Notamacropus eugenii: one gene and its partners. The protein of the gene in region 1 purifies or fractionates together with the protein of each later gene. This does not show direct contact. Links are inferred from orthologs where the notes say so. Each region holds a gene or a part of one and is shown in the gene's direction. Other genes may lie near its edges.

Region 1 (3,748 bases):
CCAGGAGCCCGGGAAGGCGGGGTGCCGGGGGGCGGGGGGTGCTTTTTAAAACCAGCTTTGCAGGCAGAGCTTTTCCAGTATCCAACTTGGAGGAGCTTGTTGTGGAGCCACGGGGGGAGGGAAGCCCAAGGGGACCCTCTGGGACAAATCCGCTTCCACAAGACCCCGGAGAGGAGAGAGGAGGCAGGAGGCGATCCCTGCCGTGGATACAATGTTACTCGCCTCCCCTCCTCGCCTCGGACGCCCCTCAGCAGATTCCAGGACACCATATTTTTTTTTTTTAGTTTGACTTCCTGTTTTCATGGGGTATCGCTTAGCTACCCCTCCGAACTTTATGTCGATACTTTCCAGCATCGTGACCAAAAAGTACGTTTTTTGGAGCAGTTTTTGTCTGGTTGTGAACATTTTTTTGGCCTTTTGACATACAGTGTTTTCCAAAATCTTACTGCAGTTTCAAACTGTACCAAGACTTTTGGGACGCCCTTTATAGTGTCCTCATACCTTTATAAGTTGATGCTATTTTAAATAGCTTCAGAATTATTAGGATATAAAATCTACATCACCGCTCTCCACATATAGACACAAAATATCTTTGTTTTTTTACTATATCAAAGTAATATGTACATGGTGTAATTTTTTCTTAAAATTAACCAACATGGCTTTACAGGTTTACGTAAATAATCTTGGTGACCAGTCTTTTGGGATTCATCCCTGTTCTAAGCAATTTGATGACTTCTGGTCAATAATCTTTCATCTGGCTAGAGAACAACCCCCATGGCACTCTGTACCTTTCTTAGGGGCTTAACATTTTTTCCCTTATGCTTTAGGTTATTTGTGTAATGAACTTAATCTTATTACGTTGTGAGTTTGCTATGGGAAGGCCTAGGCCTTAGGTCAGGAGGATGTCAACTTGTTATAAAAAATATTTTGACAACAATTTTAATATAATTTATTTCCTTTGTAATTCTATGCTGTTGGATTCTTTTTTTTTTCATTTAAAAACATTTTTCTGACAAGGCTTCTTTAGGTTTCACCGGACTGCCAAATGGCAAAAAAAAAAACCAAAACAAAACTCCTCTTGGTAGAAGAAAGAGACCTGATTTTGCGAATGGTAAATCTGAGTTTAAACTTTAATTTTGATACTTAATAGCTGAGTAAGTCATTTAAATTCTTTGGGTCTCAGTTTCTTTATCTGTCAAATCAGAATAAAAATGATGTTTGCTATTTATTTCTCTTGGTACTTGTGAGAAAAACACTTTGAGAACATTAAGGTGTATAACTGTCACTTCTGTCACCATTTCTAAGAACTGTGCCTTGCGTATTAAGGTGCACAGTAAATTTTTGTTGAATTGAGTAAATGGCATTCTTCAAAGTTTTTTTTTAAAGGAAATTAAAAGCCTCATCTCATGAGAGATGCTTTCGTTTTAGGAATTTCAGATTTTTATAAACTTGTACGTGCAATTGAGGATGGCAGCTGCATTTTCAGTTATGTTTTAGCTATGTGCTCTTAGAAATATTAAAGTGAAGGTGGTGATAGTGGATGTTGTGAAATGGGCTTTGAAACTCATGATTCAATGAAATAAAGTAATTATGCTGTTGCAACTAAATAAATAATTAAAAGTGGCTTTTAAAAAATGTTGGTAAAACTCTGTAGTAAAAAAAGAAATCAGTCTCTTGTATATTTGATTTAATTTTGAAAGGTGGCATTGAATGTTACCTAACCAGTGAAACAAGAATGGCATCTTGTAATAAAATTGATCAAGAGGCATTTCGTGTTGACTGGTTTCTCTGTGGCAGTGTCAGAAACCAGACCATCTCCGAACCAATTTTCTCAGATACTTAGGAATTAGATAAGTGGTAAAAGTGGCCCATTTATGTATTAAGTGCTAGATACTAGGGTTTTGTTTGCACAAAGTGGATTGTAATAGGAAATAACTTCTTAGAGACTTGTATACATTGGGGCTTCTAAGTCAGTATAAAATTGTGGGAATCATTTGGGTATCCAGTATCAGCAACTGCTTAAGAGGGATACATTGGTTAAGTATTTTTTTAAAGTGGAAAAAAAAATTTCTTGCCTTGTGTCTTAAGAGCAAACAAGTATACTTTTCTTGGTAACTGTATAGTGAAAAAATTTGTTTTGGGCTTTTGGAAAAAAAAGACTTGAAAAAAATGTCTTGACAGGAAAGTTATCCCAATTTTGCCATGTTCCTAGTGAGTTTAGGGTTGCCAGTGTGATATGAAGGCATCATCTGTGTGCCTTAGAATTTGTTGATACTTCTTACTCTATTTTGGGAAGAAAATAGTAAAATGTTTTCTCTTCATAGTTGGCCCCTTTAGTTTCCCACCATCAACTTTTTCCCCCAATTGAATCAACAACTCCTTAGAAGCTTCATTAAGGAGAGCTAATTTTTTTTTAATAGTCTGGGGAAGTAGATGGTTAAATTAAAGGAGTAGCTGGCAACTTGCCATTACCCAGGCTAGTCTACAATCCTCTATACTACCTATGAGGACTCTCTTCTTCCCCCCCATCTCTATCCTCTGACTAGACTTTGGGTGTAAGGTTTTGGTATAAACTATAGGTAAAAGGAAGAGGAGTAGGTTATTCTTATATTAATTCATTTTGGTCCAGAATTACCCATGGTCTAAACCTGAAATTTGAAAAGTGTGCAATACTAAACACTCCAATTTATTTGCAACATATCTCTATGCAATATTTCTTTTAAAAATGCAATTAAAATACTAAGTGTCTACTGTGATCATTGTACTGTGGGATACAATGATAGGGCAAAAGGGACATAACTTTCTTTTAGATTGTAAACTCTTTGAGGGTTAGAGCCAAATACACAAAGAACTAAGTGTAGCTATACTAAACTATATCACAGCTATGAGCTGTACTTTATTACCGTTATATAGGCTGTGATAAATGCATTGGAGAGGTCAGAAGATTCTGGTAATTGCTACTTTCTGAGGAAATCAGTAAGATTTTTTTGAAGGAAGTGGCATCTGAGCTAGATCTTAGGGAGAAAAGAAAGGCAGACATATGCAAATGAACCACTGTAGGAATAGGGGATAGATGCAGGTTCTATTCCGTTAAGCCAGCCCCTTTGTTAACTACAAAGGTTGTAGAATTCAAGAATGCTATTGGAGAACAGCCAGTAATCCAGTTTGGCCGGAACATAGAGTGCGTTAAGGTCAATAATGTGAAATAAGTGTAGGGTAGTGGAAAGAGTCCCGACATTGGAAGCAGAGAAACCTGTGTTACTTGGACATTAAGGAGCTTTGTAGCCATGAAAAAAATCACTTAGCCTCTCTCAGCTTCAGTTTTCTCATTGTAAAGTGGAGTGATAGTCATATTTCCTACTTAACAAGCTTGTTAGTATCCAGTGAGCGACTGTAGAGAAAGCATTATAAACCTTAAATCTCTCTATAAATGGAAGCTGTCATTATTAAATAATGCTAAAGAGTTAGGTTGCATGTTAGTGTAAGGAGTTTGAGTATGTTTAACGAGGAGACATGAAAGTCTTTGAATCAGGGGAGTGGGGAGGATGATTCTGACCTTGGAATTTTGAAGATGATTTTGACAGCAGAAGATGGGATTTGGAGAGGGGAGATTTCCCTACTGGGAGACAGAACAGTTGAAAGGCTGCTCCATTAGTCCAGGTGAGAAGTATCGAGTACCTTAATCATGGTGGTGTTCAGAGTGACTAGGAAGTGGATGTAAAAAAAAAGTTCCAGAAGTAGAATCAGA
Region 2 (3,748 bases), on another chromosome or scaffold:
GACCTTGTGCTGCTTGTACACAGAGGTCATGCCCCGTCCCCCCTCCCGCCCCCGCAGACGACAAGCTCCTGAAGGCAGGGGCTCCGCGAAGGCAGCTCCTTTGGATGGGGGCCTCCAGGAGCACTGGCACTGGTTTTTAGTTTTTATCTGCACCTCCGGCGTTTAACTTCGTGCCTGGCACACGGTAGGTACTTAATATTGTTTCACTTCCGTTGTGGTATCCTTAACACCCAGCGCGGCGTGCGGTACAGAGGAACGTCTTTATATATGTCGGTTTAATTTAATTCAGGAATAAGGGCCGGGGGGAGAAAAGCGTAGAGCAGGCACAATTTCAGGCCCGAGATGGAAAAGGAACACAACCCCAAGGGGGCAGCGAGCTTTTCCCGGCTTGCCCGGGGGCACCGGAATAAATACCGAGTGCAGGGTCCGGCCGGCTCTGCGCCGTCCTCCTCCGGTCACTCCTTGTTTTCCAGCAGTGCACGCTAGCTGTACGGGAGCTGCTGAAGGACGGGCCCTAGGCCGGGCCCTGCTCCCTGGGGTGCCGGGGAGGGGAGGAGGAGCGGAGAACTCACGGAGAAGGGCCTGGCCTGCTGGCTGGGCAAGAGGGAAGGGGCAGCGGGGCCTCCGTCCTCCGGGCCTCGCCGGGCACAGCCCTCGTGAGACCACAAGCGGGCGAGGGCCCTCCTCCGACCCCCTTGTAAAGCTCAGACGCGCTCGTCCGAACCCCTCTGGGCCCGAAGCCCGGGCGTCGAGAGGCATCTTCACGCTCCCGAAGGATCACGAAAGCAGTAAACGGCTCCGACGCACGCGCACGCCGTGTGTGGGTCGCAGCCCGGGGCGACGTGCAAGCGTGTGCGTGCGTGCGTGCGTGCGTGGGGCGGGGCGACGCTCTGAGCAGGAGGCGGCCGCGGCGGTGGCGGTAGCAGCCGGGGGAAGAACATGGCGGGTGCCGCGGGGCCCGGGAGCGGTCCTGGCGCCGCGGGCGGAGACGGAGACGACTCGCTGTACCCCATCGCGGTTTTGATCGACGAGCTCCGGAATGAGGATGTGCAGGTAGTGGGGCCGAAGCGGGCACCTGAGTCCGGGCCGGCGATGGGGAGACGGGGGGAGGTAGGACTGAGGCAGGAAGGCCCAGTGACTGGGGTGGGGGGGTAGCAGCCGGCCTGAGGCCGGGCCAGGTCGGCCAGGAACCCGGGGGAGACCAGAACCTGCCCCAGAGTTACCCCTACACACGCTGGGGCTCAGCCCTGACCCCGCAGAGGTTCTTCCGAGTCTCGGGGCCCAGCCCGGGCTGGGCCCGCGGCTTCCGAGGAAGACGCTTCCCAATTTCTTTGACGCCTCGTGGGGGCTGGTCTGTGGAAACAAACCCCGTCAGCCCCGGGAGAAACTGGGCCGCGTTAGCCCTAGCTTAAGAAGAAAAAAACCCTTTAGTATCAGTGGGGGGGGGGGGGTCGGGATTTCTGATCGGGGTGCTTCCTTCCCCCCTCCCCGCCCCCCAGGGGTTTCCCTTCAGGTCTTGTCCCAGTTCCACCGCGCCCCTAATTTCTCCTCTTCCCCCTACGCTAAGTAAATGCTGGGCCGAGGTTTAATTAACAGGATGCCCAGGGGTCCTTGGAGTTGTAGAGTTGAAATATGTCCAAGGTTTGCACATGGAAAAGCCGGTTGGGTGGAAGGAGGGATGCATGATTAAGCGAAATGAAATGTGTATTTTCAGGTTAAAAAGGAAAATGACAACAATTATCCTCCAGTTTATTCTTGCCCACCACACTCCTGTCAGCATTCTCTTTCCTGTTAAAAATTCTTTCACTTGTCAGGCTTTCTTTCATTTTTATTGTATTTTCCCAAAAAAGTATGACTGCTCAACTTGAGGAATCTTCTCTTGTTTATATGGTTAGGTTAACCTGACTTCTGGAAGCCTTCCATGCTACATCATCTTCTCTGAGAAATCTAAATTAGAAATTTAAATTTTATTTGTCTTCCTTGCCATCACTTGTCCATTTAGCACTTTTCTTTTAGATTTGCACTTTGTCTGCTTTGTACTGATTTGCCCCTTGCATCTCCATATGATTTTTTTTTTTTTGATAGCTAAGACTCAACAGTATTAAGAAGTTATCAACAATTGCTTTAGCTCTTGGAGTAGAGAGAACAAGAACTGAACTGCTGCCATTTCTTACTGGTATGTTAATTCTGTTTTCTTAGAAAGTGTGGGATTTTTAGTTTTTGTAGCATTTGTTTATTGATTTAGCCATTTCATAGGCTACGTTACTAACAGCATTACTGAATAGTCGTGTGAGTAAAGTGGTATAGAAAGACAACACCATCTGCCTTGGTCCAAATCAGAATATAATAATATGGACAGAAATATTACGGACATATTAAGCAAGTAGAAAAAATATTTACATGACACAGGAAAGGAGGTTGAGCAGTTTCCTAACTCAGTTCTGTAGGAGAGATTCTAGGTAGTATCTGTTGAAAGAAGGAAGAGTAGGCTTTCTTACTATTATAATTTGACTATGTTGCCATTTATATGTCTAATTTGTTTCCCCTTGTGTTTCATCTTGAGTGTTCAGCTGTTGGTCCCCTAACTCTGTTTATGAATTCCCCATTGTTGCTATTTTAGATACAATTTATGATGAAGATGAGGTATTATTGGCTCTTGCTGAACAGCTGGGAAATTTCACTGTCCTGGTAGGAGGTCCAGATTTTGCCCACTGTCTCCTGGTGAGTGGTGATGTGTGACCTATTCTCTCTATATTTTCTGAATTTTAAGAGATAAGGATAGGGACTGGACTTTTGATTTCTTTGGTAAAAGGAACTTCTAGATAAGGGAAAACCCCTCTATCAATGTGGGTTAGCATGTTTTATCCTAACTTCTTGTCTTAGAGACTTGCCTAAAGCATTGAGAGGGTAAATAATTTGCTTAAGGAACATAGCCATAATGTGTTAGAGGCAGGCCTTGTACCCAGGCTTTTCTGGTTCCAAGGCCTGCTCTTTCTTTTGTATGCCATGCACTTTCTTCTCTGTGGTTTAAATGCTGTATTATTTGGAGATGTATTGCTGCCACTCCCCCAACCCCCTACCTGCAAAGTTGTACGTACTTTTAGTGAAAGTTTATTCATTATCATGTTGTGCAAAGATGATCACAATTTCAGTCATTGAGAGCATAAACAGTATGTGTTCTATAGACTTAGCAAATTGACCTTCATGGCCAATCTCTTCTCTGTTCTTTGACCAGTCCTTATGGACTTATTTGTAAATCCACAAGATGGGGAACCTGAATTTAATTGTTTCTGAAAAATAGGGATTTCAAGTTCTCTCCTAGGTGTGTCATTTACCCTGGGAAACTTCATTATTTTTTGTTTTTAACACCTCTGTTGTAAAGATTAATAAATATGTATGCTTTTCTTATTCTAATGAATACAATGGCCTATGAGTGAGCTTTCATTGTGGTGTAGGTTTCTCCATATATACATATCAACAGTATTCTTTTCCAAATTGCTTCTTAAATGCCATATGGAGAGGGAGTGGGTTTAGCAAACTATCATAGGATCAGCTAGGTGGCACAGTGGATAGAGTGCCTGGTCTAGCAGAGTTAGGAGGACCTGAGTTTAAATCCAGCCTTAGTCACTTTACTAGTTGTGTGACTCTGGACAAATTATTTAATCCTGTTGGCCTTGGTTTTCTCTTCTTTAAAATGAGCTGGAGAAGAAAATGGCACTCCAATATCTTTGCTAAGAAAACTCCCAAT
Region 3 (3,748 bases), on another chromosome or scaffold:
AGAACTAGGATTAGAATCCAGATTTTCTGACTCCGAATTTAGCGCTTTTCCCACAACATCACACTTCCTCTAAAATGTTTAAGAAGTGAGGTAGACCAGTATCTTGTCCCCATGAGAGGACTCTTTGGCTAGGGCTAGAATCACCCGCATCAACAAAAAATTAACATTCATACAACACTGTAAGGTTTAGAAAGCTAATTATCGCATTTTCTATTTAACCAGCACGGACGGTCACACCCTACAATAGTATTATCCCCATTCTACACTTGGAGAAATAGAGACCAAGTAACTACAAATAATACCCTAACAGACACTAGTAAGTGTCTGAGGCAGAACCAGAAAGCTGATGCTCTTGGCATCAAATCTCTACCCAATGCATAATGACAGAAATGGGAAAGACTTTAGAGGGAATTTTTAGATGAGGAAACAGATCTAGGGAAGTACTGGTCCAAGGACACATAGTTTCAAAGTTCGGTTTGAAACACGAGTCTCTTGACTCTGAGCCCAGTGCGCTGTCGGAAGCTGTGTCTAAAGTCTAAGTGATGAAGTGGGATGGGCAGTAGAGGATGGCTGGCTAATCAATGCAGGGGGGAAGCCTCCTGGATATAAAGTCTAAGAACCATGGTTCAAATTCTTCATTTACAGCCCATGACCTTGAACGCGTCACTGCATCTCTGGGCCCTCCTTCTGGATCTGTAGCTTTAAATCACGGTACTATGAATAGGAGACCAGGAGAGAAAATTTCGGTTTAGAATTGGTGGCCCTTGGGAGGAGGGAAAGAGTCGATCCCTTTGAGAGATGGGAGGTTTGACAAGTGACTTTAGCCGAAGGGATAAAAGGAAATTTCCGAAGATGAAAACAAAGCCTTGTCTTTGGGGTAGTGCCGGGCTGGGAAGGGAAGGCGATTACTCCTGACCTCGGTCAGAGTCAGGTTTGGGAGCCCTGAGATCGAGTGTTACCGCTGCGCCGCTGTCCCGTAGGGGGTCCTGTCAGCTTCTGCCCGGTGCCTCAGACTCCCCATCTGCCTCGGGGACAGACCCACGACCTAGAGCCCGGCTTATTCCTAGTCCGTTTCCCTGCAAAGAGAAAGGAGTGAGGGTGTGCTTTGGAAAGACTTGGGCTGTCTTTCAAACTGAGGAGGCGGGTGTACGATCAAGGTCACCCCCCTCTCCAGAGACCCTTCCACCGGGATGCCTGGCGGCGTGGGTTCCTGCAGCCGGAAAGAAGGGAGGCTCGCAGCGCGAGAAAGCGGGGGTGCCCGCCTGCACAGTGCCGCGGGCCCCTCCCTGGCACCCGGGCGCCGCGCTGGGCTGGGCTCCAGCGCACAGCGGGTTAAGGCGCAGCGGGGGCGGGCAGGCAAGGGGAGGAGTGTACCGTGCTTTGCGGGCCGGGGGTGCGGAGCTGGGAGGTGCGCAGAGCGCGGCGCTCCCGACTCCTTCCTCTCCTCTGGGTTAGTCTGTGTGCCCGGCTCTCCGGCGCGCAGGGGGTTAAGCGCCTCCCGTGCAGAGCGAGGGGGCCGAGCTGGGGAGCTGCAGCTCGGTGCTCGCATTCAGATCCGCTAGAGCAGGAAGATGGCGACGGACGGGGCGAACTGCGAGCCCGACTTCTCCCGCCACCCGGAGGACCCGGCGGGAGCCCCGGCAGCGGCGGCGGTAACCGAGCTCCTGGGGCGCGCGCGTTGCAGGCGGTGGTTCGGGGTTCTGGGGCTTAAGGTGGCGGGTACCGCGATCTCCTGGGCTCTGCAACCTTTTTCCCTCCCGGGAATACCTTTCGTCCCCACGCCACACCCCTGCGACTGGAGGGGTGGGGCGGGAGGTGGCCGAGGGCTGCTCCCGACCTTCCCTCGCAGCTGGAAAGCGCCGGGTCCTTTCCTCCTGCCTTCCTCGGCGGGGACTCCCCCCGGGGCACCTCTCCGGAGCCCGCCCCTCTAGCCGCCCTCACCCTTTCCCTCAGCTTACTCTCCTCGGTCCCACCCTCTTTGCACGCCCTCCTCCTCTTCTCCCCCAACCCTTCCCAGTCACCCCAACCCCTGCTGGTTTGGCCGAGGCTGAATTGTGGTGTGTAGCAGCGAACTTGACCCCCTATTGTTTGCATCTCTGCTGAGCGCGTGTTTGTGTGAGTGTGTGTGTGTGTGTGTGTGTGTGTGTGTGTGTGTGTGTGTGTGCGCAGGGGCGAGCCTTCGAGCTGGGCGCTTGTCACTGGCCAGCGATCTCGGAGATTCGGGGAAGGGGAAGAGGATGATGTCTGGTTAGGTGTAGGACAGGTGTGCAGAAGCCTATTGTGTGTTTGAGGATGCTTGCAGATGCCAGTGGGGAAAGTCACCACAGAAATCCACGGGTGCATTGGGCTCGGGGCTGCCAGTGACCGGGCATTGGCACTGCCTTTGACTCCTTGAAACCCCTCCTCACCTCTTCCCATTCCCCCTTTTAGGGTTGTACTGACAGAAGCTGGGGGTGAAGGGGGGGAGAGAAACAGCGACCAACGGAGACTGAGACAGAGACAGGTTCAAGACGAGGTTTTGTAGTTAAATCGCCTTTCTCCCCCCCCCCCCCCCCCCCCATATGCCCCGTGGTACCTGTCCTTCTCCTCCCCCGCCTTCATCTTTGTACCTTGTGGGTGGAAATCAGAGCAGGTGACAAGCCCCTACTGTTGAATAGAGCTGAACTCCACGTAATGGGTGGAAAATGTTTTCAGTATTTAAGGAAACAGCCTGGCTGTTTAAAGCCGCGTGGAGCCTGTTTAAAAAAGAAGGGGGAGAGGGGGGCCGCAGCTCTGCCTGCCTGCCCTTGGCCCTTCTCTTACTTCAGTTATCCAGTGTGGGGTTCTGATGAAGTGAAGGACATCAGAATTTCTGTTAACTCTTCTGTCTTGTACCATACACTTCCTTCTTGATTCTTACTGCTTAAACTGAGCTACATTTCAGTCAAAAGCAGGGGACAGGGCCAAGAGTAAACAGATACAATCTTTTCAACTTTCCCTAGCTAGCCTGCTTAATGTTATTTCCCTCCCTTAGAACCTTACCACTGGTGTAGGGAGAGAAGAAGGAAGGGGTGGGTGGGGGTGAGGGTAACAGGGACCAGGGATGGAGTGCCTCCATGGCCCTAACAAGAACTGAAAGGAGAAATATACAAGAGAAGGGACGATTTAGAAGAGAGCAGTCGGAGAGCTATTGATTTCTACTTCTGCAACTGCTAGATTTGGGTTTCTAGACTTTTAGAAGAATCCCTGTATTGACGTAGGAAATTTGTTTAAAAAGGCATTAAGATTGCCAATGAAATAGTCCAATTTATGATGTGGAAAGAAAACCAGTAGCCGCATGTGAAACACAATCGAGACTGCTTTTAAGCCAGAAAGCAATTGTTTTACTGAAAATGACCAGGAATCTTCCGGTGTGATGATGGATAAGGTAAAGTAGTGAAGGTGAAGATTTTTTTGATCTCCTTGCGTACTTAGAATAGGCTTCTTTGTTATGACTCTGAGGTCTTTAATCATCTACTGAAAGTAAAGCCAAACATAAACACTTGATTATGGACTCTATCTGATTGATATATTAGTTTAGGCCATAAATTCAGATGGTGATGGTTAGGTTGATTTTTCATGATGTTGTTGCTAGTTCTTTTTTTTTATTGTTTAATAATTCACAAAATCCCAGGAGTGGCTTGTGTGTATGTATGTGTGTGAACGTACAATTAGTTTGAGGTTTAATCTTGAGACTAGCCAGAGAAAATCTTAACCTGCTTTTTATTTC

The links.
Region 2: the proteins of STK24 (region 1) and PPP2R1B purify together in Homo sapiens (affinity purification with mass spectrometry; 3 studies listed by BioGRID and IntAct, with this or other methods). This does not show direct contact. The link is inferred for Notamacropus eugenii from reciprocal best matches to the Homo sapiens genes STK24 and PPP2R1B.
Region 3: the proteins of STK24 (region 1) and CTTNBP2 purify together in Homo sapiens (affinity purification with mass spectrometry; 3 studies listed by BioGRID and IntAct, with this or other methods). This does not show direct contact. The link is inferred for Notamacropus eugenii from reciprocal best matches to the Homo sapiens genes STK24 and CTTNBP2.

The regions. Positions count from the first base shown.
Region 1 is NC_092877.1:228,125,491-228,129,238, forward strand, and holds the start of STK24 (serine/threonine-protein kinase 24), read left to right. Parts: upstream 1-1,012; 5' UTR 1,013-1,045; coding exon 1,046-1,111; intron 1,112-3,748. UniProt on the Homo sapiens protein: Serine/threonine-protein kinase that acts on both serine and threonine residues and promotes apoptosis in response to stress stimuli and caspase activation.
Region 2 is NC_092876.1:142,472,143-142,475,890, forward strand, and holds the start of PPP2R1B (serine/threonine-protein phosphatase 2A 65 kDa regulatory subunit A beta isoform), read left to right. Parts: upstream 1-891; 5' UTR 892-939; coding exon 940-1,053; intron 1,054-2,085; coding exon 2,086-2,176; intron 2,177-2,620; coding exon 2,621-2,721; intron 2,722-3,748. UniProt on the Homo sapiens protein: The PR65 subunit of protein phosphatase 2A serves as a scaffolding molecule to coordinate the assembly of the catalytic subunit and a variable regulatory B subunit.
Region 3 is NC_092874.1:134,966,992-134,970,739, forward strand, and holds the start of CTTNBP2 (cortactin-binding protein 2), read left to right. Parts: upstream 1-1,521; 5' UTR 1,522-1,571; coding exon 1,572-1,652; intron 1,653-3,748. UniProt on the Homo sapiens protein: Regulates the dendritic spine distribution of CTTN/cortactin in hippocampal neurons, and thus controls dendritic spinogenesis and dendritic spine maintenance.